Linked DNA regions of Stegostoma tigrinum. The protein of the gene in region 1 interacts with the protein of each later gene in a biochemical or structural test. Links are inferred from orthologs where the notes say so. Each region holds a gene or a part of one and is shown on either strand. Other genes may lie near its edges.

Region 1 (7,089 bases):
GTTGTCATTTAACACTGGCCTACATGTGACTCCAGACCCACAGCAATGTGGTTGCCTCTCAACTGCCTTCTGAAATGGCTTAGCGAGCCACTCAGTTATGCCAATTGCTACACCGTCTCAAAGAAATGAAACCAGACAGATTACCTGGCATCGACCTAGATGTCGGAAAAGACGACAAGAGCAACCCTGTCGACCTTGAGAAGGGCATAATTTAATACTGTGTCGAGGACTCTGCACCTCACAGCCTAATAGATTTGGCAGCAAATTCCCTTGTTCATGTGGATTCACTGTTGTCATTTAACACTGACCTACATGTGACTCCAGACCCACAGTAATGTGGCTGACTCTCAACTACCCTCTGAAATGGCCTAGCAAGCCACTCAGCTCTGCCAGTCGGTACAACATCTTAAAAAAATGAAACTGGGCAGATTACCTGACATTGACCAAAGCACCAGGAAAGACAATGGCAAAAATAACCCTGCTGACCTTGCAAAGTCTTCCTCACTAACATCTGGGGGCTAGTGACAATGTTAGGAGAGCCGTCTCACAGATCGTTTAGACACAGCCCGACTTAGTCATACTCACTGTATCATATCTTACAGACAATGTTCCAGACACCACCGTCACCATGCCTGGAAATGTCCTGTCCCACCAGCAGGTCAGACTCGGCAGAGGTGGTGGCACACTGGTTACAGTCAAGAGAGAGTTGCTATGGGAGTCCTCAACATTGACACCGGACCCCATGAAGCCTCATGGCTTCAGGAAACCTCTTGCTGATTACCATGTACTATTCTCCCTCAGCTGATGAATCAGTACTCCTCCACGTTGAACAACGCTTGGAGGAAGTACTGAGGATAGCAAGGGCACAAAATGTACTCTGGGTGAGGAACTTCATTGTCCACAACAAGAATGGCTCAGCTGCAGTACTACTGATCGAACTGGTCGGGCCTTAAAGGACATAGCTGCTAGATTGGCACTGCGGCAGGTGGTGAGGGAACCAACAAGAGAGAAAAACACACTTGACCTCATCCTTACCAATCTGCCAGCCGCAGTTGCATCTGTATATGACAGTATCGGTAAGAGTGACCATTGCACAGTCCTCGTGGAGACAAAATCCTGCCTTCACATTCAGAATAATCTCCATTATGATGTGTGGCACTATCACTTTGCTAAATGGGGCAGACTGCATTCAGATCTAGCAACTCAAGACTGGGTATTCCATGAGACACCATAGGCCATCAATAGTAGCAGAATTGTACTCCAGCACAATCTGTAACCTCATGGCCCGAGATATCCACAACTCAGGCATTACCATCAAGCCAGGGGATCAACACTGGTCCAATGGAAAGTGTAGGAGGGCATGCCTGAAGATGAGGTATCAACCTGGTATCGAACAGGGCTACTTGCATGCCAAACAGTGGAAGCAGCAAGTGAGAGACAGAGCTGAGCAAACCCACAACCAACAGATCAGTTCTAAGCTCTGCAGTCCTGCCACATCCATTCGTAAATGGCGACAAACAATTAAACAACTCACTGGAGGAGTAGGGACAACAAAAATCACCATCCACACTGGCCTAGCACATCAGTGCAAAAGATGAGGCTGAAGCATTCACAGAAATCTTCAGCCACAAGTGCTGAATGATGATCCATATTGGCCTCCTCCAGTGGTTCCCAGGATTAGAGATACCAGTCTTCAGCCAATTCGATTTACTTCACGTGATATCAAGAAATGGATGGGGACACTGGATTCTGCAAAGGCTACAGGCCCAAACAACATTCCAGCAATAGTACTGAAGACTCGCGCTCCGGAACTTACTGCTCCTCTAGCCATGCTGTTCTGGCAATGCTACAACACTGGTTTCTACCCAGTAATGTGGGGTACACAAAAAACAGGACAAATACAACCCGGCCAATTACCACCTCATCACTCTACTCTCAATCATCAGTAAATTGATGGAAGGTGTCATTGACAGTACTATCGAGCAACACCTGCTCAGCAATAACCTGCTCAGTGACGCCCAATTTGGGTTCCGCCAGGTCCACTCAGCTCCTGACCTGAGGAGAGGGGAGACTACAGTCTCTAAAGTAAGAGGATATCTGGGAAGTCTTAGAGTTGAATGCCTCATTCTGGCAGCAGATGTGGTGGAGGTGGAAGAATTGTGAGTATGGGATAGAATTTTTGCAGGAGGGTGGACGAGTGGAGATGTAAATGTTGGAGTCAATGAGCTTGAATTGGATGTCATTGGTAAGCTGGTTATTTGGTGATGGAAAGGAAGAGGTCCAGGGGGGGAAGAGGTGCCAGAAATGGTCCGAGTGAATTTGAGTGTGCAATGGAAGATGCTGGCGAAGCTGATGAAGTGCTTGAGCTCCTCCCGGGAGCATGAGGCAGGACCAATCATTAATATAACTGAGAAAAACATGGGGGATGGCGCCGGTGTAATTGCTGAAGAGGGACTATTCCACAAATCCTACAAAGAGGCAAGCATAAATCAGGCCCATGTCAGTGCCCATAGCCACCCCTTTATTTTGCATGAAGTGGGAGGAGTCAAAGGAAAATTGTTGAGGGTGAGGACCAGTTCTGCCAGGTGAATGAGAGTGTCAGTGGACGAGGATTGTGTGGCCCTACAGGTGACGAAGAAGTGGAGTCCTTTATGGCTATTATTGTGGTAAAAACAGGTGTACAGAGACTGCATACCCACAGTGAAGTTGAGGTATTGGGTGGTGGGAAATTGAAAGGTTTGGAAAAGGTGGAGGGTGTGGATTGTCCCAAATGTAGGTGGGGAGTTCCTGGACCAAAGGGGAAAAGATGGAATCAAGATAGTGGGAGGTGAGCTCAATGCAGCCGGAGTAGGCAGAGACAATGGGTCGTCAGTTGGATTTATGATCTTGGGTAGGAGACATAAACAACTGGTGCGGGGTGCGGGACCTATCAGTTTGGATATCAGGAATTCAAACTTGCAGACAGTCTGCAGTATGATGCAAACTACACCAGATGATCATCAGTTTCTCCAACAGTGTGCATGCTTACTTATATTGTCTCACTAAATGTAGGGAATTGTAAGTGTGCTGTATTTATTCTCAACCCTACCTACAATGAATCCACAATAGAAATGTAGGACAGAGTATTAATAAAAATATAAAATGGCAAGTGTTCGATATGACATCCAGTCTTTATATATTATATAGTAATACTTGCATACAGGTACGTCTAATGCAGCTTGCTATAAATTCATTAATCTCAATCCAGCAACTGATCTTTGCAAAATTAGACTATAAAAGTTATATAGGGGCAGGAAAAGGCAATCAAATTCACCTCAGCCTAGTAAGCCTATAGATGAAGCCATGTCTGGTTCAGTGACCTAGTCCCTTAACCCTCAATATATAGAACATACAACAATGTAACATAAGAACACATGCCTCAGTCCATCAAGTCTGTGCTGACCATGATTCCATTCTATACTCATCTCATCTGTCTATTCTCTGACTGTGTGTCTGTGTAAATGCCCCCTAAACGTTGTTATCTTATCTGCGATCGTCCCAGGCAATCTTCGCGAACAAAAACCTATCGGCCTCAGATTTAAAATTCACAACTTAACAGCTATCCTTTTGCACCTGTGCGGGCAATAACTCAATGCGTCGTTTGTGCTCTTGTGCCTGTCTGTCTGTCTCTGCCACAAATCATTTTTCAGCGGCACCTCCACAGTGTCAGTGGCATGTTAGACTATACTGCCTGGCTTTCTGTGTTACTACTCCTTTCCTCCAGATGCTGCCTGGCCGGCTATGTTTTTCCAGCCTCCTGTTTGTCTACGTTGGATTCCAGCATCTGCAATTTCTTCTTGTTTCTATTAAAACGCAAGCGTTCGATATACAGCAGCCGACAACGGAAGGATAGTGAGCAGCGAAACGGAAAGGCACGAATGAGGCCGAACAACAGCACTGGCCGTTGGGAGGACGGAGCCGCGTGCCCGTCTATCCGCGCTCCGCCGACGCCCGGGGTGTGGGCGAATGATATAACGCAATGACCGAACCATACCGCGCGCATAAGGGCGCGCGGCTGTGGGCGGGGCCTATGACGCCAGCGCGTCCGAAGAGGGAAGTGGAGCAGCTCGAGCCGTCGGGTGTCAGATGCCATTCCCCGTGGGGGGTGTTGATGTTACAGATCCACTTCATTTGAATGGATTTTACTTTCTCCACATCGGGATTGTAAAAAGGAGTAACATAACAGCCCCGCCCACCTCCTCAAGTCAGTCGTTTTTGAGATACGGAACGGGCGGTTTCTTTCAAAATTTTAAATTCTTCTTTGCAGCAACTCCTCTCCGCACCCTGACGCCTTCCCCTTCCTCTCTCCGTCCACCCGCCTCCCTCAACCACCTCCGACCCTCCCCTTTTCTAAGAGAGGAGAACAGCCTCCCTGCACAATGTCAGGAGTCAGGCCGCACTTTTACAAGCAAGAGTTGAATAAGACAATCTGGGAAGTGCCGGAGAGATACCAGAACCTCTCTCCCGTCGGATCTGGGGCTTACGGCTCCGTCTGGTACGTGTGCCGCCGCTGGTTTCAATTATTTTAATTTTTCCCGGAGCCGCGCACAGGTTTCTGTTTTTGCCCCAAGTTGTGGGAAAGTTGTGCAAGAGCTGCAAGCAGCCTTGCCAGCTGTGCACCCCTGCAGGCCTAGCTAGGCCCGCACTTTCTTCATGAGCCATTAGGATGTTTGGCGTCTGTTTCATTGGGACTCCCGCACGCTATGGTGCACGCATTGCACTTTTTAACGTTTTCTGTGTGCAAAATCTTTAAGCGGGCTTGACAAAACGTGTTCAACTCTAGTCAAAAACAAATTGCTCAGTAACTTTTTGCATGATGCATTGGTTTTCTCCACTGTTGAGGCCGCCTACCGTGTGCAACAAAAGGGGTAAAGCAGCAGTGAAAGTTTACTGTATAGTTCTAATTCCGGTTTTTATTAAGAAAAGCCATTGGATTTTAACCGATCAGTTTCCCTTGTGGATTGATTCTAAACCCTGTGGTATATTGATAGCATGTCTAATCCTTTCAGTCGATACAGCGATTGTCTCTTAACCACAATAATTGCTCTTTATTGCATTTATAGTTGCAAGTTTCATTTTCATGGGAATACTTTTATTGACTAAATTCTATTGTTGAACGGCATTGCTTTCGACCCTTTTGTAGCTTGCTTCGCCATATAGGCACAGTACTGAAATAACGAGTAGTTTGATAGCAGTTTATAACTTAATGATTTGCACAATTTGGATAGTTTCTTATTTTTGTATATGAGTATTAAATATGAATCTTGCGATCCTTTTCAACCTAACGTGAGCCTTAAATTCACATTCTTCGCTAACGGCTTTTGTTTAAAACTATGAAATGCTACCATTAGCAGTGGAGTAGAATTGTGGGGTCAATAGGAGCCTAACTGCAGCAATGACGGCTGGAGTATGGAACTAGATGCTTACAGAGTTGGGTAGTGTTGCGGAAGGACTTATACAAATGAGGTGGATCATTTCTACCAATTGAAAAAATGTGAAAAGATGAGTGACAAAATTTGGTCAAGTTTGAGATTGTTGACCCTCTAAGGTTCCTTATGAACAAACAGAAACACAAATGGAAAATGTGCATATATATGTAAACGCGAGTGCTGAGCATCACAAATATTGATTTCATTACGCTTCCGATAGATGCCTATCTGTCTACAATATTCATCATGCAAGTAAAAGAATACCCTTCACTGCTTGGGTCAGTGGCTGAAATAGTCCTGATGTTCTACCAACGCTCTGATTTGAGAAGCTTGGGTGTCAATACTGAGTATTTTAAACTTAACAAGTCGCTGTGCAGAAGCAGATCGTGGGTGTTTTCATTTTGGAAATACGAAAATTTAAGTGATTTTTTTGACTGCAACATTGGGAAGCTAATTGTGGGCAACTAATGCATTGTTTAACTGAAATTAAAGAGTATGACAAATTAGTTCTGCCTGCAAATTAGATTTCTTCTCTATCTGTGGCATTGATTTTGCATGATATCTCATTTGTGTTAGTCACTTACTTTCTTTTCACACAATTGGTTATGATGATGAGCACCATCTAAAGTAGTTTTTTTTCAGAGTGACAGCTGCTGAAGGATCCAATATCCATTTGGCAGGGCATTTCTTGGGGTACTGTTTAATGTGCTTGTGGTGGTGTTTGGGTCACATTGCTGGATGGTACTGGTGAGTTGATAAGTCAGCTTGTCTAGTAATGTTGTTTCATCATTTGCAATCAGCCCATGATGCCCTGAGATGCTGTGATGTGTTGTGGTGAATGCACATACATTTATTTGCTATTATTATCATATACACATTTGCCAGTACAGCAAATCCATGGATATATTAAATGTAGTAAAATCCATGATAGGTCTTAACAGAGATAGTAGGAACTGCAGATGCTGGAGAATCTGAGATAACAAGATTAGAGCTGAATGAACACAGCAGGCCAAGCAGCATCAGAGGAGCAGGAAGGCTGATGTTTCAGGCTTAGACGAAATGTCAGCCCCACACCTAGTTATCATAGGTCTTGGCAGTCTTATTTTGAGATGACGAGTTAGTTTAAAGTGCAGACTAGAAAGTGAAAAGAAATTCAGGGAATAAGAAATTAGAAAGTAGAGCTACATGCCACTGTAGTTCTTAATTTTGACCTGTTCTAAACCTGAAATGGGTTTTTTTAGTCGAACATCAGTAAAACTATTTTGCTGAAATAATGAAATGTTGAATCAATGCTTCAACCCTCAGTTTAAAAGAAATAAGATTTTTCTTTTGAGGATTCTGTCCTGAGTGCTTAACTGCATTTCATTTGAGCCAAATGTTTCTGTGCTATTTAATTCATTTTTTCCCCCACAAAAGTGGGAACAAAATACTGTCATCAGTATTGTTAAGTCTTTTAGGAGACAGGAAACCGGCAGTGCGTTAAGCAGAGCAATTGATTAAGCAGTAGTTTTCTCTCATCACACTTGGTTTCCTTTGGATGTAAATGTTGCAGTAAATATTCACAGACACTGCAGAAAAATTTTAATGTTAGAGTACAACCTATATAAAATTCAAAAAGCTG
Region 2 (7,146 bases), on another chromosome or scaffold:
GCCCTCCCTCAGCTGATGAATCAGTACTCTTCCATGTTGAACAATACCTGGAGGAAGCACTGAGGATGGCAAGGGCACCAAATGTACACTGGGTGGGGGATTTCAATCAAGAGTGGTTCAGCAGCAATACTACAGATTGAGCTGTTGGGTCCTAAAGGGCATAGATGCTAGACTAGGTCTACTGCAGGTGGTGAGGGAACTGACAAGAGGGAAAAACATAATTGACCTCACCTTTATTAATCTGCCAGCTGCAATTGTATCTGTCCATACAGTATTGGTATGAGTGACCATCACACAGTCCTTATGGAAACAAAGTCCCGCCTTCACATTGAGAATAACTTTCATTGTGTTATGTGGCAATATCACCGTGCTAAAACGGATAGACTTTACCCAAACCTAGCAACTCAAGACTGGGTGCCCATGAGGCACTGTGGGCCATCAACAGCAGCAGAATTGCAATCCAGCACAATGTGTATCCTTATGGCCTGGCATATCTCCCACTCAACCATTACCATCAAGCCAGGGAATGAATGCTGGTTCAATGGACGGTGCAGGAGGGCATGCCAGGAGCAGCACCAGGCGTACTGAATGATGAGGTATCAACCTGGTGAAGCCACCAAACAGGACTACTTGCATGCCAAACAGCGAAAAGAGCAAGTGATAGACAGAGCTGAATGATCCCACAAACAATTGATCAGATCTAAGCTCTGCAGTCCTGCCACATCCAGTTGTGAATGGTGGTGGACAATTAAACAACTCACTGGAGGAGGAGACTCCACATATATCCCCATCCTCAATGATGGAAGAGCTCAGCACTTCAGTGCAAAAGATAAGGCTGAAACTTTTGCAGCAATCTTCAGCCAGAAGTGCCGAGTGGATGATTCATCTCGGGTTCCTCCAGTGGTCCCCAGCATTACAGATACCAGTCTTCAGCCAATTCAATTCACTTCATGTGATGTCACGAAACGGTTGGGGACACTGGGTACTGCAGAGGCTATGGGCCCTGACAACATTCCAGCAATAGTACTGAAGACTTATGCTCCAGAACCTATTGCTCCCCAGGCCAAGCTGTTCCAGTACAGTTACAACACTGGTATCTATCCAGCAATTTGGAAAATTCACCAAGAATGTCCTGTACACAAAAAGCAGGATAAATCCAATCCAGCAAATTAGTCTGCTCTTAATCACCAATGAAGTGATGGAAGGTGTCATCAACACTGCTACAGAGTAGGACTGACTCAGCACCTGTTTAGTGACACCCAGTTTGGGTTCCACCAGGGCCACTCAGCTCCTGAACTCATTACAGCCTTCATTCAAACATGGTCAATAGAGTTGAATTCCAGAGTTGAGGTGAGAGTGACAGCCCTTGACATCATGGCTGCAATTGGCCAAATGTGGTATGAAGGAGCGAAACTGGAATCACTGGGTATTAGGGGGGCAAAATTTCTGGTATTTGGAGTCATCCCTGACACATAGGAAGATGGACATGGTGTTTGGAGGTTAATCATCTCAGCTCCAGGGCATTTCTGCAGGAGTTCCTCAGGGTAGTGTCCTTGGCCCAACCATCTTCAGCTGCTTCATCAAAGACATTCCCTCCATCGTAAGGCCAGAAGTGGAATCTTTGCTGATGATTGCTCAAAATTCAGTACCATTTGCAAACCCTCAGATACTGAAGCAGTCCATGTTCACATGCAACAAGCTCTGGACAATATCCAGGTTTGGGCTGATGAGTGGCAAATGACGTTCACGCCACACAAATACCAAGCTATGACCACTACCAATAAGAGACAATCTAACCAGCACCCCTTGACATTCATTCATGTTACCATCACTGAACCCCTCACTATCAACATCCTGGGGTTACCATTGACCAGAGACTCCACTGGACTCACCACATTAACAGAGTGGCTACAAGAGCAGCTCAGAGGCTGGGAAAACTGCGGAAAGTAACTCACCTCCTGACTCCTCAAAGCCTGTCCACCATCCACAAGGCACAAGTCAGGAGTGTGTTGGAATGCTCCCCCCCACTTGCCTGTGAGTGCATCCCCAATGACACACAAGAAGCTTGACACTATCCAGAACAGAGCAGCCTGCTTCATTGGCACTATATCCAGAAGCATCCACTCCCTCCACCACCGAAGCTCAGTTGCAGCAGTGTGTACTACCTACAAGATGCATGGCAGAAATTCACCAAAGACCCTCAGACAGCACATTCCAAACGCACAACCACTTCCACCTAGCAGGACAAGGGCAGCAGACATATGGGAACATCATCACCTTCAAGTTCCCCTCCAAGACACTCACCATCCTGACTTGGAAATATATCACTGTTCCTTCACTGTCACTGGTTCAAAATCCTGGAATTCCCTCCCTAATGGCATTATGGGTCAACCTACAGCAAGTGAACTACAGCAGTTCAGGAAGGCCGCTCAACACCACCTTCTCAAAGGCATCGAGGAATGGGCAAGAAATGCTGGCCAGCCAGTGACACCCACATCCCACGAAAAAAGAATCCACTATTGAAATGTAGGAAATACAGCAATTAAAATGCACTTGGAAAACTCTTCCAAGCAGCAAAGAGACTGACCAGATTGTCTATTTTAGTGGTATCAGAAGAAATAATAGGCAAAACACCAAAGGAACTCTCCTGTTTTTCCTAAAAATAATGCAATGGGATCTATTTTACATTAACCAGAAAGAACAAACAGGAATTATTAGCAGCCAAAATTCTCTTCTGCATCAAGGTTATCTTGAACTCAATTTTTTTACTGACTGCTGCAAATTTGATTTGCAACAAACCCCAGACATTTTTCAATACCTGCAATCAATTTTGGAGTTTAAATTGAAGAAGTAACTTCATATTCAATAACATTCACCGAACAATCTTTGGGAACTAGTAATTGTCGTCTACTGAAACAAGCTTAAACCCAAAAAGACTGAAACAAAGCAAAAAAAAATTGTAAGTTCACAGGAGACCTACCTGTAAAGATGACCAGATCATTAGCTTGGAGGCAGATAATCCCCTTCACAAGAGCACAGGCCTGAAAGAACATAACTTTTTACAGATGCTCTTGATTTACATCAGCAAGGAAATGAAGAATGAGTGCTTCTAAGAACCTGAGACATTAGACTGAAATTGAATAAATTAATGAAATTAGGGCAAATGCATGGGCCAGAAGGTACATGTCCCACCCTCTCCAGACGACCAGTTTCAAAATATCTAAAAAAAGATCAGGTCAGAACTGAGAGGTGATACTTAGCAGGGAAACAGCGAAAAGGCTGCAGTCATTTTGTCTTGATTATAGTCTAAGGTGTTTAAAGGTTTTATGGAGAAGCTGTAGAACAATGTTTCTCGTGTAGAAGAAATTAAAACTATAGCTAGAAATATGCAATAGTAACTAATAAACCTTTTTGTTGACTTTCTTTAGCTAGAATTAGGGATGTGGAACTCACTACAATATGGAATAGTTGAAATGAATAGCACAGATACATTTAAGTGGAAGGTGGATGAATACATGAGGGGTAAACAAATAGAATGATATACTGACAGGGTGAAATGAAGAACAGTGGAAAGAAGCTTTATGAGGGTACTACACCAGCACAGACTAGTCGGGCAGAACGCCCTGTTTCTACGTTATACATTCTGTATAATTACTTGAAAATTTTACCACATCTAATGTTACCAGTACCTTATTTTTACAGTTAGGTTGGAAAAGTAAATGGCCTGATTTATGTGCAAATCTGTAACCCATTCTAAAGTGTAAATAGGCGTGGAGCTGAAGGGTCTAGGCCCGAAACATCAGCTTTCCTGCTCCGAAGATGCTGCTTGGCCTGCTGTGTTCATCCAGCTCCACGCCTTGTTATCTCGGATTCTCCAGAATCTGCAGTTCCCATTATCTCTAAAGTGTAGGTGCTCTACTCTTCAATACAACTTTACTGCCTGTATCTCATGCTGCAACTTATTCTGCACTTACAAAACATGAATCATGAATAACTCAACACCCATGTGTCACACAATTGCAATAAAAACTGAGAAAGGTTTGTAGTTTGACCATTTGAACATAGTTTGGCATACTTCAGAATTCCACAGCACAGAAACTGACCGTTCACCTAATTGATCTATGCCAGTCTTCACAAGCCTCTTCTCTTCCCTATTTTGTTTCATACAAGCAGTATATCATTCTACTCTTTTCTCCCATGAATCTATCTAGCTTTCTCACTTGGCTGTTATTGGATGCCCATTTTGTGCTGTGACCAAAGTCTTTCTCTAAACATTTCTGTCATTACTCTATTATATTTTATCCATCAGCCCCGAACCATAAGTGAGGAGGCTATGGTGTAAAAGATGAATAACTATATGTTTGAAAATAAAAAAACTTAATAACATGCAAAGATTACTTGAGATGAATTCAACAGAACATTTGCGAAATGGTGCAATTTAAGTGTGTAAATTTAATACAGTTAAATTTGCGATACCTGGCATGCATCAGGAATTGATGATACCACTAAATCAAAAATGCCAAAAAAACAGAAGGAGGGCTGACTTTAATATCATTCAACCATTTGAGTCCTTTTGATAGGTAATGAGCTTGAAACCATATGCAAGTTCTGACATGCCAAAAGGATCATTTCAGTGAACCCTGTGGACAAAACCTATTGAACTGCCTTACACTGTTTCCCTTCACCAATTGCAGCCAATTTTTTTGGTGTCTGCCTGTGACTGTCTATATGTGTATATAGGGTAAGTTTACTGAGAGTTAGGGTTTTAACTGGTAGAGTTACATGTCAACAGCTCATAGTTGTTCTCGATAAACTCTACTTATTTATAACAAATAGTTATGTTAAATACATAAGTATTCTGTTAAATACAGAAACCTGTCTGAGTTTTCTGTCAACTGGGTCCAAAACACAAGTAAATTGGTGTATTTTGTCAACTTTTATAAAATGTATAAGTTTGGCGATGCCTCTGGGAATAGCGGTGCTTGAGCGTGCTGCCCTAGTGAGGTGTAACAGGGATATCCAGCATCCCTGCGTGATATTCCAAGTTACTCTGGGCCAAGTACAGGAGCATGTCTTTTGCTTGGAGTTGAGCTAGGTGTCAGGTCTCTGAGGTGCCTGAGATGCAGCTTCCTTTGAATTGCAGCAGTGATGTGTTAGTAATGTGCTCACAAGATGGTGATGCTGTATGTAGTATAGGCAGATAACCCAATGAGGTGGAACTCTCTGAGCTGGTGGAGGGTGCATCTGCTGCGGTTTCAGAGCAATCATGTCAGAAATGGTACTGATGGGGAGAGGCTACGCATCTCTTTTTCTTGGCGGTGTGTGTTAACTACTCATACCTGTAGAAGAGAAAGAATAAGTTGGTGAACATGCACAGTCCTTATATAGATGAACATGTGGAACGACACAACTGAGAAGTGCAGTCTATAATCTTCCTTACTGACTTCTCCTGCCATTCTGATCTTTCTATTGACTCAGGACTGGTCACTATCCGCATCTATCACTCTGCTGCCTGGACCATATAAGGGAAGAAAACTCAGCAACTCTGCACTGGTCTTAGCCTTTTCGGCCTCTTGTCCTGCAAGCAGAGAAGGAGAAGGATTGTGTGTCCTTGGTACTGGTGCAGGAGCACTTTATGACCATGTGTCCCGAAAGTAGGCTTCCCACAAGTATTTAGAAAGTGCAATGCCTGGGAAACAGAATACTCAGAGCATAAGGTGTGAGCCCTTCAAAGCAGATCATGGGTAAGAGACTGAGGCTTGCAGGCCAGTGGCTGAGTTAGACTAAGTGATGGCCCTAAGAGATTGATCTTGCAATGAGGAGCACAGGAGACCATTCATGAATGCTGAATGATTTATTTATTGCCACCAGCATTACAGTGAATAATACAGTAAAATTATACAGTGAAAAGCTTCAAAAGTCGCCACAATCCAGCGCCATTTTGAATAGTTTGAGAATGAAAAGGATAAAAGATATGACTGAAAGAGAATCCTGAGCCCTGAGCCGGATCACCAACAATACCTGTGCCACGCTGCCACCTACGCTGGGCCCACCAACATAGGAGTCGCTGCCCTTCCTGTGGCACACTGGCACTGACCCAAGCGCCTGAGTCTGATGGGAGCTGCCAATACTAGAGGACAGCACTTATCTGGGTTCTCTGGATGGCATTGAGCCGAAACCTGATGAGGCTTTCATAAACCTTGGAGCTGATTTGTTCCTGCTATATGACCATGAGTGAGTAGGGAAGGGAGTAGCTGACGCAGGCTCTCTTGACTCTGCAGCTTGGCGGAGATTGAAGGGATGCCTCAGGTGGCTTTTTATGTATACCAGCAGAACCTTCACACCTGGGAGATCCTGGCAGGATCAAGAACCTCTCCCCACCCACCCCATATCACTTACTGTTGACGTCACACTATGACTCACTTCCTTATAAAATGAGCTGAAAAAGGTACAGTCGTGCAAGAAAATTTGCCCTAGGTCATGACAGAATTGATGCTCTCTAAGATGCCTCATGTCCTTCTTTAACTTCAATATGGAAAATCTTGGCTGTGGTGTTTGAAATCAAAAACAGGGTTGAATGAGGTCTGCGACAGCAAGTAAGCACATATAATAGCATTAGCTTTTCACTGTGCTGCTATTATACTTCACAATGGCCGGGTGAAGCTTGTTTTGTTGTCATGACAACACTAAGGTACCAGTTGTCATCAGTACAGTTTCTTGTTTGGCGAATTGCTCCTGGTCATTTAGGGGAACATCAGAGTTTCTGATTGGTGGAGCATCCTGGTTTGTACAGATAACATTTGGAAAATACAAAATTAACTGTATGTATTGAAAATAAACCTTATCCAATTTATGTAATGTTTAATTTACTTGAAATTTCTCACACCTCTATTTTCCCAACAATAATTTGAAACTTACAGCTACAGTCGGCAACTTTTTCAGTTTCTTCATGAGTTTTCATAATTAAGTACGTATCACAATTCTGATGTCCAAGGTACTTCGACCCGTATGAAGGTATTGAGGTGGGTACGTAATATTTCCCTTTCATACGTTAGGCTCAACTGCCAACAACAAATGACGACTGGGAAAACAAAACAAAAACAACTGGTAACAAACAGTGTCAACTTTTGTCAACTGGTCACAGTT
Region 3 (6,949 bases), on another chromosome or scaffold:
ACTTAAAATAATTGAATCTTCCAGATGGTCCAAGCATCACATCAGCAAAATTGTGCAACCTTCCAAAAACAGTAGTTAATTATATTTATAAACACAACTTAATTTCTTAAGCACTTTTAATTAGTAGAAAGCATTTTGCAATTGTCTCCCCACCACCACCCCCCAGTGTATACGCACATCAAACATTCACAACTGACTACAGTTTGGAGTAAATAAGTATATGCATTTGTGTAGCAACTATCACATCCCAAGAGAGCTCACAAGACAAACAACATGCAAAAAATTAACATCAGTAATGTCAACATGTAAATGTGTATATAGAATTGAAGACATACATATGGCTAAGAAAAACACCCCAAAAACAACAAGAACATTTTTCACAACCAAACGATTTAAAACTCTACACCTTACACATATTTTAAATATATTGCTTTTTGTACAAGACTCCAGTCCATAAGTGAAAATAATACCCAGTCAGTTTCTTAATAAAAAAAATTCAAACAAGATTATTTACTCTGCTGGAATTCTTCCCAGTTCTCACACTGTAGTTGCATGGAATCTAGACAACAAGATTCAGTCATGACCTATAGGCTCTATCCTACATCCAGGTTTCAGTGAATGATGAATTTTCTGCAACTGTTTCTCAAATAGCACAAAAAAAATTTTTCTTTGACTTCTTTTTCTCAATTTAACTAGCTACTTTAAAAAGAAAACCCGACAGATGCTAGTATTTAGGATTCATGGCAAAACGAGCTGTTACATCATAATAATGTGTTGAAGGACAAGGAACACATATTATTGAAGCAAGGTAATATTGATCAAACACATCTTTACACAATACTTCCACTGATCTACACAAGGTTAGAATTCACTATTAGTTTCTTACATCCAAACAACATTCTACTTCATGAATAAATTGAATGGAGAAATTAGCCTTATTGTAGCTAATACTATGCAAACCACACTGCTTATACTTCCAGGAACACTGAACAAACTCAAAGAAATCTGAATGTATTTTGCAATCTGAAGCACATCACAGGAATTGCAATTTTGCATGCTGCACCTTTGTACAGCTGAGTACAAAGTACTGAGTACAGTTGGACAATCAAAGCTGTATGGTTGATCCCTTTACATAATGCAATTTATAGTTGGTCATAATTTACATATTAGAAAACCGACAAGAGCAGCACCTAGCCCAATAAACACAAGAATATTAGAGAATGAAAGCTACAATCCATTCCATTGAAAAACTGTTGCAGCATAATACCATATTTAACCAATCGCAAAGGACAAACCCAAACAGAAAATAAAAGTTGAGATCATTGATGGTTAAAAGGCCATCTTACTAACTTTTGATCACTAACTTCACAATACTGTGTTACACGACAAACAGGCAATGTATCAAGTAACACATTTGGACAAGCCATGACACCATCCATCAAGAATCCAAAATAGTCTTTTAGCTGCCCAATTTTTCAGACAACAGTTAAAAAGTTGTTTTTGAAGCTGGAAACCCACTTATAACAACTGCAAAGTCCACGCAAGGAATATTCTTGAAACATTGTGTACCTCGGATCTCATGCAAAATAAATGCTTCATGGAATTTATAATGTATTTTATACTTCAAATATACCGAAGGAGTTCAAGGGAATAAATTGTGCTGAACATACCAGCGGAAACATGTTTGACGAAATAGGTGAACAGACTTCACATTCAGACTGCTTGTAAGCAGTTTGAAATTAAATTAACTGCCCTTAGTGATGACTAAGCTGAGCTGTCAAACTATTAGGTTAATCTAGGACTTCGATCCTACTGTTCATTCGCACACTAAACAATTTTTTGCATTTTCAACGTTAGCACTATTAATACCTTCAGCCAGACCCCTCGACCCTGCACACGCAATTGAATGTTTTGGAAACTGGATGGATACTTCATAACAGGGCATTTTTCATGGCTCCTTTCAGAATACAAATGACAGCCATTAATCGACTCTGGACGAAGGTGATTCTACTAATCCATCCGTAGACTAAAGATGCGAACGAACACAACTTGGGGTCCACAATTACACAACACTTGGAATAGTTCACCAACCAAAATAAAATAACGCATGAAAGTTTGTTAGAAGAACACAGACACCATTCTCAAAATAAACATGTTTTGGCAGTCAATAAAAAAAGTTGACTGAACTTACCACAGAAAAAAAATCACTAAATCCTGACTCTGAGTCTGTGGGCCTAACAATCCAGCTTCAAACTTTTCAAAAAATAAAAAAAATCTTGTACGTCGCCGCACACTTCCAACTGTTTGCTTTCTCCTGTCCTTAATCAGAGAAATCCTTTAAAAAGAGATGGAGGTGAGGTTGGGGAGAAGGAGTGGAGTGGGGGTGGAATAAGAACAAGCATGCCAGAATATTTCCGGGTTAATATAACAGATCAAGCCACTCACCCCCACTGTAACATCCCCTCAAGAAATAAAGGCCAAGATGAAGACGTTTGGGGAGGGAAGGGGAAACAGCCAAGGCTCAATATATAGATTTCTTTTTTAAAAAATCCACTTTCAAATATATATATTAAAATAAAAGTGAATTGAAAGGTTGCAAAGGATTATTCACGCTGCTATCATATCCAGTCAGACCCCTGAAAGCTCTGGTGCTGCTGCTGTTTCTGTCATTTGCTGTGGGGCTGGAAAGGCAAATAATCCACTTCAAACAAACTCAAATTTCCCTGCCAAGCAGATACATTCGGGTGGCTAAGGGAAGCAGAAATGTTGCTATTTTTACTCACCACTCAGAGGATACTGTATCAGCCGCGAAATGAATAATTGTATCAAAAAGACACAATGTTGCTATTTTTAGTCTCCCACAGACAGACCTGCCCATTCGCTCTCAGCAGCAATCCTCCTTTATCCTTCCGCCCACCCAGGACATGGGGCGGGCTGACGGGGGGGGGTGCGTGAAAAGTGAAACAAACACAAACACCCACCCCCGCCGCCAAATATCCAGCCCTCCACATTACCAACCCCCTCTTCCCCCAGGGTACTGGCAGGTCAGACCCACGATGCATACGGACCCCAGCACCCCCACCCCCACAAGAACAGCAAAGGGGGCCTACTTTTCTCCCAGATCCGCAGCACAGCGCGGAGTAGCACACAGCAGTCTAATGATCTGACGTCAAACACCCCCCTTGTGGAGATTTCACATCCATCCCCCTCGTTTAGTGGTGTGTCTCCCTAAAATCCGCTCTTTTATGTTCAGTCTGCTTCAGCTGGATTGAAGAGGGGTGAACACCCCGAGATGGCGTGCTCTTGTCCCCCCCCCGGACCCTATGAATGTTCCCAGCTTGGGGCTAAATTCTCCTTACCTGCTATTGACGTCATGGGAGGGGGTGCGTGGGCGGGTCCCGTTAGGGCAGGTCCCAATCTCTGGTTGGCCACGTGCACACTGACCGACAGGCAGTCAACCAATAGTAAACTGGTTGGCTTGAAGGGCAGGCCAATGGGCGAAGAGGAAGTGTAGGGTTTGGTTGAGCTGGGCGTTGGGGAGTGAGGTTTGGTTGCGGGAGCAGCGCAGGAGCTGGTTGTTGAGGAAGAGGGTGGGGTGTGCGAGCTTGGTTTTTACTCACTCAGTTACTTATTTATGCATCTGTTGTTGGGGTCCTCTGGAGTGTAACTGTGTGCTTTGGCCGGAGTGTCTGGGGAAAACTTCAGTTATAAACACGAATGCAGAGACAGTCAAGTTCAGGCTGACACTTCACTTTTTGAGGCCGGATGTGTTCATGTCAAACCAACTCTGCCTCTGGAAACTGTTATAAAGAAACTTTAGCTCCAAAAGCTGTGAACGTCTTTCAGAATCAGACAAGCCCAGAGTCAGTTGGGTGTAATTGAAACAAAATTCCATTGTGTCCGTTTGTGAGATGCCACACTAATTGTATCGAGTTTTTAAAGGGATGCATTGGAAAATCCACTTCCCTGCATGAGACTTGTTTTGTCTTGAAATAAATATAATGTTGGCCAACTTTGTTTCAAATAGTCCTTTGGTAGTATTTAACTTGACCTAATGTCAGAGCAGTCCTTTGGAAACGCGTGATTTCAAATACACCTTTTGGACTATAACTTGGTGTCATGTGACTTCTGACTTTGTCCAACCTAGTTCAACAGCGGCACCTCCACATTTGAAATTGAAGGGGCTCAGTTGGCTGGACAGCTGGATCAAGGTACAGAGTGATGCCGGCAGTGTGGGTTCAGTTACACTTTGGTTGCGTTTATCATGAAGGACTCTCCTCAACCCCCTTACATCACCTGAGGATGGGTCACCCAAGGGCTTAAACCTCTCTAATGAGAGTACATTTTGTCAAGGCTTTTCAACTTGCACTCATCAGAACAATTTGCAAGAAATACCAATGGAAAGGGAAAGCAACATTGCTGCGATAGGACCATGCTGATTGGAAGGCAATTGAACTCTAATTGCAAATGCATTGTCAGATGTAGGTTTTTCAGGAGATTCATGAAGATAAATAGGCAGGCAGGAGGTTTGGAGTGAATTCCAGCGCATGGGTCAAAGCTAAGGGTAGTGCTAGCAATGGGAAGCCTGGATGCAAAAGAAGGCAGAGATGTAGGTGGGGAGAATTCTGAAGGGTGGTGGTATTGTCATCACATTTGTGAAGTTGGGGATCAAGGGAGCTGAAGGTGAGTGTTATAAACAATTTGGGCTTTGAGTGAGTATCTGAAAATGTAAATTGAATATGAAGTCAAGTTTAGGGATTAGGTATTCAGTAAGAAGTGGAATTGGTGAGTTATTTGAATAACAAGCAAATGGCAGAGGAGTAAACAGAAGGGCAAAATGTGGTTTGTTCATATGATAATGGTATTTTGGTTGACAAAAGCAGTGGGAAGATTATTGTGGCTTCAGTCAGGCATGACATCATTCACCATGAGCTAAGTTACATTCAGAGCCACACTTAGTCCAGTTTTCCTTTATTGTCATGGTCTCTGACCAATTGCTTTTAAAAAGAAACTGAAACTTCCAGTTACTGCTGAAACATAACAGATCAAAATGCAGCATTTTAAGACATTTTACTACAACAAAAGACAAAAAGTCTATTGGAAAATACTTTAAAGTCAAAGTTACCGACAAAGATAAACTTCAAGATAGAACATATCCCTTTTTCTTTCAGCACAACCAAACACTTCACAAGTTTACTGTCCTTTAGGTGGACACCCAGTTCTCCACAAATCAGCCCAAGGTGATTCTTAAGCCCCAAGGGTTTAATTCTGTCATTTTCATTTCCCATCTTGGAAATTTTTAAATTCAGGAGTGAGATTTATTCAGAGATTCCTCCTGCCGCACATGCTAGGTGAGCCTTCCAACTCCTCATGAATTTTGTACTTACACTTAGCACAAGTTCCCACATCCACTCCTGTGTAGTGAACCACAGTATCTTGTTGCCGAGAGCTATTGTCCCTCTGTAAGTTCTTGGCAGACGAACCTTGTCTTTGAGTTTTCTGGAATACCTTAGCCCCTTCCCTGTCAAAGACTGTCTCCATGGCAACATGTGGGCCTTGTATCCAGGAATAAATGCTCACCATCTATCATGGAGTTATAGAGAGGTACAGCATAGAAACAGATCCTTCAGTCCAACGCGTGCATGCTGAGCAGATATTCTGAGTTAATCTTTTCTCATTTTCCCACATTTGGCCCATATCCCTCTGAACCCTTCCTATTCACATACCCAATCAGGTATCTTTTAAATGTTATAATTGTACCAGCCTCCACCACCTCCTTTGGCAGATCATTCCATACATGCACCATCTTCTGCATGAAATAGTTGCCCCTTAGGTCCCTTTTAAATCTTTCCCTTTTCTCTCCAAACCTATGCCCGCTAGGTTTGGACTCCCCTCATTTAGGAAAAGACCTTTCCTATCCATGCCCTTCATAATTTTATAAGCTTCTAATAAGGTCACCCTCATCCTCAGCACTTAAGGAAAATAGCCCCAGCCTCTGACTGTAGCTCAAACCCTCCAACCCTGGCAACGTCCTTGTAAATCTTTCCTGAGCCCTTTCAAGTTTCATAACATCCTTCCTACAGCAAGAGACCCAATTTGCATATAATGTTCCAAAAGTGGCCAATCAATGTCCTGTACAGCCGCAACATGACTTCCCAACTCTTATACTCAATGCTCTGACCAGTAAAGGTAAGCATACATAACACATTCTTCACTAACCTCTCTACCTGCAACTCCACTTTCAAGGAACTATGAACCTGCACTCCAAGGTCTCTTTGTTTGGCAACACTCCCCAGGACCTTACCATTAAGTGTATAAGTCCTGCCCTGATATGTCCTACGAAAATACAGCATTTCAAATTTATCTAAATTAAACTCCATCTGCGATTCCTTGGCCCATTTGCTGTCCGATCAATGTCCTCTTGTACTCTGAGATAACCTTCTTCACTCTCTGCTACTACTAATGTTGGTGTTGTCTGCAAACTTGCTGACTATTACTCCCTTATTCATACCCAAATCATTTATATAAATGACAAAAAACAGTAGACCTAGCACCAACTCTCATTGCACGCCCCTGGCCACAGAAGTCATTCACTTTTGAACATGAATGTTGTCACCTGGTGTGTTCTACCCTGTGCTTGGTGTGACACCAACAATTAGACTCAAACTAAAAGCAATAAAACTGTGCGCATGAATCTCAAAACTTGTTTTTTATTTATTCATAGTTACAGCATTGCTCGCTAGACCAACATTTTCTGCTTGTTCTAATTGCCCTGGAGAAGGAGATGTTGTGCTGCCTTCTTGAACTGCTGTAGTCTTTGCCGTTGGGAAGGGAGTTCGAAGATTTCAACTCAGCAACAGTGGAGGAGCAGCGATATGTTTCCAATTCAGGACTGTATGTGACTTGAAGGGGATTTTACAGCTATTGTCCTTGTTTTTCTAAGTGATTA
Region 4 (7,797 bases), on another chromosome or scaffold:
CCTAACAATTATCTCACTCTCAGCTTATCCTCAGCAATCTCTTTCTTTCCTCCCCCCACCCCACTCCATCACCCCATCACTCTCTCTCGCTGGGCACCATCTCTACATATTCTATTCTTCCACCCGTCACCAGCATCAATACAATCTTTCCCCAGCTATTTTCAGTTCTGATGAAGGGTCACTGGACTTAAACATTTACCGTTTTTGAGACTGCTAACTTGCTCGACGAGCAAGGTCAACAACCGCATCAACAAACCAAGCCACAAATCTTCTCAAAAACCTTGAACTCTCTTTCTCTCTCTCTACAGATGCTGCCAGACCTGCTGAGTTTCTCCAACACTATTTGTGGACCCTTCTCTTCTTGTAATTAAAACTCTATTCTCAGGCATCATTTTAATAAATCTTTTTCTATTACCTCTGCATAACCTTCAGAATAGGCCACACCTCTCTCTCTTATTACCAAAACAATGATTTTTGGATCTCCTGTGACCAATTATGTTTGCATTTGAGCAGGTCTTTCGTCATTTACAAAGTATTCCCTGTTGCTCATGATGTTAGAGCTATAATAAATATTGAACCACTCTTCCATCATGTAGCTTATAATTTCTTTGCTCTTGTCCGCACCTTTGCATGTTTTCCAACATGGGCCCCTCTCTTGACACTGAAGGTCACTCAAATTTTTCAGATCATGTTCTGCAGCTAACCAACAAGAGGAAGCATGCTGTGGTGAGACCAGACAGGCATATTATCACTTTTTCATTGTCCTTGAAACAAACGCTACAAGCAAACGTGCTCCACCTAGCAGCCTGGCTAAAACTGGCAGAATTTAATCCCAACTGTTGCAGGCAGCTTCGAGTGACAAACTGCCTTAGGACTCAAACCCACACCAATTTGTGGGGACGGTCAATACTGCAGCTGTTCAGCTGTTTTGCCTTGGCTACTGTAAATGTCATCTATACTGCTCACTCTTTATGTGATGCATCTACTGCAACGAAATTGAAAATGCATATACTGCATTGCATTCGAACGAAACAAGGTCGATATCATTAAGTCAATGTTTCTAATTATGCTGCATTGGAGATTATGTCTGTCATGTAATCAGGACCTTTCAGAAGTTGTTCATATTTGCAGACCATGCATGAATCATCATTAATGGTCTCTTTCCCCCTCAATTTCTGTGCTAGTAAAGCAGTCATGCACAGTAGCTGGAGGGACGTGCTCCACATACTGTATTCGTTTTCAGGATGTTGCCCTGCGCTCCTGCAATGTGACATTTCAAAACAGACATTTTCATTCAATAAGCAGAATTTAAAAATAACACAGGTCACCGTCTTCGCTTCAAAGTCAATCGCTTTACGCACTTCACGTTCAGGCTATGTAACTAAAATGCCTAAAATCGATCGAACCTTGAAACGAACTGAATTAGTTCCGCAGGCTGTGTCGCCTACAAATTACTACCAACTCCTGACGACTTTTGCTTTATGAACAGACTGCTAAGGCAACGAACATATCTATAGCTGTATTCTACTCTACCCTAAACTCTGGAAACATCCGATCGTTAAAACTTTCTTATTTTTTTTAAATGAAAAGGAAGATTCCAAAGGTTTACCTTTTAAAACCAGCGGATCCTTGCCTTCTCGTTTCAACGACTCCAGCACTATATGAAGTGGCTGAGAGGGCAGCACCCGGTTGGGCTCAATAGTGTTCTCATCATAAACTACTATCTCCTTGGAGAATATCCTTTTATAGGAGTCCTTGCCTTCCCTGCAGGAGATGAGATCCAGGACGGTGATCTTGCCCTGTTGCAGCCTCCTCCTGCTGATCTTGTCCGAGCAGTTGATGTGGACGGCTCCCTGGATGTGGCTCTTGTTGTATTCCATGAAGGGGCGACAGTCGATGATGACCGGTCCCTGGCTCTGAGACGGGGGCCCCTTGGTGCCGCTGCCTTTGGTCAGTTTCTTGGCCAGCTCGGCTGGGGGGATGGTGCGGACGGCCGCTGCGGCCGGAGGGGACGGGGTTCCTCCGACTCCGGCAGCCGGGGGGCTTGCAGCAGAGCCGCCGTTCTCATTGCCGCTCACCATCGGGCTGCCAGCGCAGGAAGGGCAGCTGAGTTTGGAGGAGGAGGCGGCAGCAGCAGCAGCCGGGGCTGGTAGAAGGTGGCTGCCCCCCGCCACCGAGCCCGGGTCGCCCTTGTTGGGAGGGTAGGTGCTCACCGTGCAGCAACTAGCGCCGCTGCATCCGCAGGACAGGGAGCGCACCGAGCCGTTAGATGATGGCATATACGGAAAGTTGCCGCTTCGGGACGGGAGCGGAGCCGCTGCCGCCGCCAGGCTCTGAGCTTTCGGATGGCCAGCTGCCGGAGTCGCCGCTGCTCCGGGACGAGAAGGAGGAAGAGAAGAAGAAGCCACGTAGGTGTGATCCAAACGGAGATGGAGTTCCTGCGGTCTGACCGGCCTCGGCAATGCCACCACCCCAACAATCCGTTCGTCTAGAGGGGATGGAGGCATCAGGATGATGTTGATGAGCCCTGCTGGCGATCCGTGGAGGAAATGGACTGAAACGGGATCAAATGTACTGTCAGCATCAGAGCAGAGGGAGGGGAGGGGAGAGCAATAAATTCAGAGGCACGCATTGGTTATTTCTGCCGCAAATAGAAGGGGATCGCAACTAAAAATAAACTCGAGGCACAGGCGCCTTCATTGGGCAACCTTTCTTTTTAAGTAATCAACAAACTGCCCGCTTATTCTCTGGGCGAGGTGCTTGCAATTTAAAGTCCAAGTTGAGCCACAACTTTGTGCGGAGCTGGGGCTTCACTCCGCTGCAAGAAGCCATTGAGAAAAATGTACTCACATCACTAAGTGCAGCTCCTCCCGCTCTCCTGGGACTTAACTGTCTACTCGTTAGTGATCTAGTCCCAGAGAAACTTCCCAACATTTGTGGTGTTTTTTTTTCCCTGTCTCTCAACTCATTGAGCTAGTTACCCCGCCACAGCCGCTTTAATTCAACTACACTTTTTCTTATAACAACGCGATTCGCCTTTACCTGACGGGGGCGGGGCCGTATCGTCGATGGACGGAATGTCCAACCAATGGAAGTCTGTCATTCCCAAGGTTCGACCCGCTTCGCAACCCGCTCCCCGACGTTTTGGCCAATTGCCGTCGGCAGAGGGCGGGTACCGCACCTTCATTGGTCGGCCGGGCGTCGACGTTATCGTTTGCATGACATCATTGGCAGCCAATGGGCTGGCCGCTAGCGAGGCTGCTCCCGGAATCGAGCGGCTGCTGGCTCTTTCTCGTCCAGGGCCAATGCAGCCAATACCAGTTTAAAGTGACCATGGAATCAGAATGAATGCAGCCAGGGCTAGTGCACCCAGAGTCAGTGCCAACAGGGTCAGTCAAAGTTTTAATGAAAAGGGACAGCCGAGTCATCTCATTTTGTTTTCCTCTTCACGCCATATTACTATTCATTAAGTAATTGCACTCATGTTTTAAATCATTCATTACAATTCCTGATGCGTAACATTCCACAACAGTGTTTCTGGTCGGAATTTCGGACATAAACTAGAAGGCAAAGCAAAATCAAAATAAAAACAAGACGGCCGGGTATTCCTCCCCAAGCCGTAGTAACACCTTGAAATTGAGCTGGCGTCAGCAGCATATGATGTTGCAGATAATTGAAACAAAAAAGCCCGCCAATGTTGCACCGAGAACTTCAACTGGACCCGCCATGAATTCACTGCTATTATCTAAAAAGTACTGCAAAAAAACACGTACAGTAAAATAAAACGATATGGCGAGAAGGAAACGATAATTCTTGAAACTTTTTATTGTCGGTGGCAGATCTTGTGGGGTACTTTAAAATAATTTATCTGTAAATGGTTGAGTTAACAACGATGAGAATCTTGAACGGTACCAACACATGGGATGTTGTCATTATTTAAAGCAAGGTTAAGCGTAATACTGGAGATCAATTAACTCTTGCGTGCAATTGTTTCGACGTGGTTAAGTATTCTTCCTACTGTGAAAACATTTATCTAAACTGTATTTACTCTGCATGCACTAGGAGGCAGGATTTCTTACTTACCACATATTAGAGCAGATGGGTGTAGTGAATGTCAGTTGGTTGTTAGCAGTCCGTCAGTCCGGGCAAGCATACCTTAAACAAGAGATAGCAGCCTTGAAGGCAATGCAGCATAGATTTCGAAGATGCCTGTACTGCAAGTGTTAAATAATTTGGAGCAATGCACAAACAAGGTTGTATTCCTCGGAAATTAGAAGTTTAAGGGGTGATTTGATCAAAGTTTCAAAACAAAAATAATGTAAGAGTAAGCGAGAGATACTACTTCTGGTGGGAGTCTCGAACTACAGATCACATTCTAAACATTAGAGCCAACCAGACCTTTCAGGAGTCAATTTTAGAAAGACGTTTACACAAACTAAGACCCTTACTGTTTGTTAGGTACATTGATATCTTGGATTTACATCTAGAAGGTAAAATTAATAAGTTTGCAGATGGTTCATAATTCCTTGAAAGTAGAGTCGCAGGTAGACTGGATAGTGAAGAAAGCATTCGGTATGCTTGCCTTTATTGGTCAGTGAATTGAGTACAGGAGTTGGAAGGTCATTTTGCAGCTGTATAGGACATTGGTTAGGCTGCATTTGAAATACTGCATTCATTTCTGGTCTTTCTGCTGAAGGAAAAATGTTGCGAAACTTGAAAGGGTTCATAACAGAATTAAAAAGGATGTTGCCAGGTTTGGAGGGTTTGACCTGTCGGGAGAGATTTAATAGGCTGGGGCTATTTTCCCTGAAGTGTCAGAGGCTGATAGGTATTTTCCCTGAGGTGGGAGAGTCCAAAAGTAGAGAGCATAGGTTTAAGATAAGAGGGAACAGATTTAAAAGGGACCTAAGGGGCAACTTTTTCATGCAGTGGCTGGTGTGTGTGGAATGAGCTGCTGGAAGAAGTGGTAGAGGCTGATACAATTACAACATTTAAAAGGCATGTGGATGGGTATATGAATAGAAAGGGTTTAGAGGGATACGGGCAAATGCTAGCAAATAGGATGAGATTAATTTAGGATATCTGGTCAGCATGGACGAGTTGGACCGAAGGGTCTGTTTCCATACTGTACATCTCTATCACTCTAAAGTTTGGAAGTCCCTTCCACTAGTAAAAAATGTTAGATAAATATTAAATTTAAAACTGATGTTGATAGATTTTTGTTCTTTGTAGATTTGAAGGAATATTAGGCAAAATTGAATATGAAAAGTCGGTCACAAATCACCATTGAATGATAATTTGAGCTTGAAGGGCTAAATTCTTGTTCTGAAGGGTGGGAGATCATGTACCAGCAATATGGACAGCCCTGCACTGTACACTTAGTTTTTGTTGGAAAATAAGGCATGTTTCTTTATCGCCATCTGGTCACCCCCACTGAATATCCACTATGGCAGAACCAGGTGTAAAGCAGGAAAATATCCCTCTGAAGTTTGTTGATGGTTCAAGTGTGACTCTAGCACTTTCAGCGCATAATGTAGACTGCAATTTGAGAGCAAAATTGAAAGAACACTACAGATTTGTCATATTTCAGATGAGACTTTAAGTAAAACCCCTCTAAAACCCAGACTGTGACACTGTTTGTTAAGAGCAAGGGAATTCTTTCTGGTGGCTAACTAATGTGTATACCTCATTCAGATCATTAAAGCAGATTATCTGTTTGTTACCATATTGCTGTTTCCACAATTTGCTGTGTGCAAATTGATTGCATTATTTCCTTCATTGCACCATTAACCACATTTTATAAGTATGTTATTTACTGAAAAGAGCTTTGGAAAATCTTCCTTTTGTTTGTTTAAAATGTAAATAATATTCTTGATCTGATATAATCATCAATCATCTTTCTCAGTAAAAACCACAATCATTTAAGTAGGGAGAAATTATGGTTGGTAATTCCCTCAAAGCTGTTCTCACTCCATTTCCATAACCATGTAGGAAGTCTGGCAGAAACCCTGTTTATGCTGCTTTTCTGGTGAGGTTGTACCAGTGGAATGGAACAGCTTGGAGGAAACCCCCGGACTATGTGTTCAAATTATAGACTTTTAGGAACAATTCTATGCCACATGAACCTTTTGTGATAAAGTCTTGTATTGTTAGTGAGTGCGTAATTCATGTTTTCCTAATTAATTTTGGAGATAAATAGATTACATAAATTTACAGGATGGGAACAGGTTGAATGGCCCAACAAATTTGTCTTGATCTGTAGTTTAAACAGTTGTGATTCTTTTTGTCTGCAATAAAATTGTAACTTGGGGCTGAACATTACATTGTTTGGCAAAACGTCATTCATGCAAGTTTTTGGAGAGTTTTTTGCCAAGAAGTCTGGTGAGATCTTTAACTGTGTGTTACCAAAATCACCTCATTCACAACTTGCTCTGGTGCTGTGACATGCCTCCTGCTGGATTCTAACCCTATCTCAACACCTGGAACTCGCCAATCCCTGGATATCAGCTGAAAGACTGGTGTCTCTGGCATCTTTACAAGGCTGCTGTGCACCAGGCAAACATTAGCAACCTGGTGTTGCCCCCGCACTGGCAACCTAATGGCACAGCAATCACAAAGCCACACAGCTCCCGACATGGCAGACAGTCTTACATATAAAGTTCATCCTTCTCAGCCACAATTACAGAATAGTTACAGTATGGAAGGACGCCATTTAGCCTACACCAGCTTTTCAAACAAACATCATTATCAAGTGCCAATCACCTGTGTTTTCGCCGTACTCTTGCACACCATTTATATTCAATTAATCATCCAATACCTTCTTGAAAACCTCAAATGAACATGCCTCCACCCCTTTTCCAGGCAGTACCTTAAATACTTGCTGAGTGAAAAAGTTCTTTCTCACATCAACCTTTCTTCATTACACGTCACTTTATGTCTAAGCCTTCTTGTTCTTGTTCCTTTTACAAGCTGGATCAGCTGCTCCCAATCCACTCTATTCAGGCTGCTTATGATTTTGAAACTCTATCAAATTTCCTCTCAAAGAAGGACAACACAACTTCTTCAATCTATCCTTAGAGCTGAAGTTTCTTATTCCTGGAACCCAAGTCCTTGTTTAACCAAAGGTCAGTTTAACTGTTCTTAACCACATCTTTTGTAAATGCCGTCTCTAGGTCACTGCTATTCTGTTACCCACCAGAAGAACATCACTTAAAAGCAAGTAACCAGACAATTCCAGAGATGAGCTTTAATTTGAATCCAGCAAAAGCAAACACATATAAGTAAATAGAGGCTGCAGTTCATCCCCACAATGCAAACTAAATGCTGATACGATGACCAGCAAATATTTAACATTTCACGATGGTCTCCTGCACCCAGCTCTCATCCACTGGAACTGGGTATCAATCAGGTACTGTCTGACTTGTATTATCTGACACACCTAATCTCTGACATGCACAAGGAACACATCCTCCTCCCCAATGTCCTCATTCTGCACCCTGGAAGACTGCTTCTGTTCTCTCAGGTCCTCAGTGTCTATCACATTGCTTTGTCACCTGCTCCACTTATGCGTAGCACTGCATTCCAGGGTGATGCAGCACACTCTGTGTGGACCCGTGTCTTGTTCCAAGCTGTGGACCCTCATCTTCAGCAGCTCTATCATCTGCGCCACCTTGGCCCTGGTAAAAGCAGTTGAGGGGTTGTGCAATGGTGTCATCAGTCATGATCACACTGGATAGCCCTTGTCCTCAGTAACCAGCCTTGGACCCTTCAAATGCACCAGATTCACAGAAGTGCTTC

The links.
Region 2: of the proteins of mitogen-activated protein kinase 14 (region 1) and myelin basic protein, one has a biochemical effect on the other in vitro, tested with the Homo sapiens proteins (4 studies listed by BioGRID). The link is inferred for Stegostoma tigrinum from reciprocal best matches to the Homo sapiens genes MAPK14 and MBP.
Region 3: of the proteins of mitogen-activated protein kinase 14 (region 1) and mef2aa, one has a biochemical effect on the other in vitro, tested with the Homo sapiens proteins (2 studies listed by BioGRID). The link is inferred for Stegostoma tigrinum from reciprocal best matches to the Homo sapiens genes MAPK14 and MEF2A.
Region 4: the proteins of mitogen-activated protein kinase 14 (region 1) and dusp10 form a complex in vitro, tested with the Homo sapiens proteins (2 studies listed by BioGRID, with this or other methods). The link is inferred for Stegostoma tigrinum from reciprocal best matches to the Homo sapiens genes MAPK14 and DUSP10.

The regions. Positions count from the first base shown.
Region 1 is NC_081374.1:27,103,223-27,110,311, reverse strand, and holds the start of mitogen-activated protein kinase 14, read left to right. Parts: upstream 1-4,070; 5' UTR 4,071-4,418; coding exon 4,419-4,534; intron 4,535-7,089. UniProt on the Homo sapiens protein: Serine/threonine kinase which acts as an essential component of the MAP kinase signal transduction pathway.
Region 2 is NC_081358.1:41,218,769-41,225,914, forward strand, and holds the start of myelin basic protein, read right to left. Parts: upstream 3,017-7,146; 5' UTR 3,002-3,016; coding exon 2,981-3,001; intron 1-2,980. UniProt on the Homo sapiens protein: The classic group of MBP isoforms (isoform 4-isoform 14) are with PLP the most abundant protein components of the myelin membrane in the CNS. They have a role in both its formation and stabilization.
Region 3 is NC_081386.1:13,878,049-13,884,997, forward strand, and holds the start of mef2aa (myocyte enhancer factor 2aa), read right to left. Parts: upstream 3,013-6,949; 5' UTR 2,784-3,012; intron 2,755-2,783; exon of another isoform or gene 2,446-2,754; intron 2,336-2,445; exon of another isoform or gene 2,192-2,335; intron 1,959-2,191; exon of another isoform or gene 1,870-1,958; intron 1-1,869. UniProt on the Homo sapiens protein: Transcriptional activator which binds specifically to the MEF2 element, 5'-YTA[AT](4)TAR-3', found in numerous muscle-specific genes. Also involved in the activation of numerous growth factor- and stress-induced genes.
Region 4 is NC_081362.1:53,408,795-53,416,591, reverse strand, and holds the start of dusp10 (dual specificity protein phosphatase 10), read right to left. Parts: upstream 3,001-7,797; 5' UTR 2,851-3,000; intron 2,555-2,850; 5' UTR 2,508-2,554; coding exon 1,610-2,507; intron 1-1,609. UniProt on the Homo sapiens protein: Protein phosphatase involved in the inactivation of MAP kinases. Has a specificity for the MAPK11/MAPK12/MAPK13/MAPK14 subfamily. It preferably dephosphorylates p38.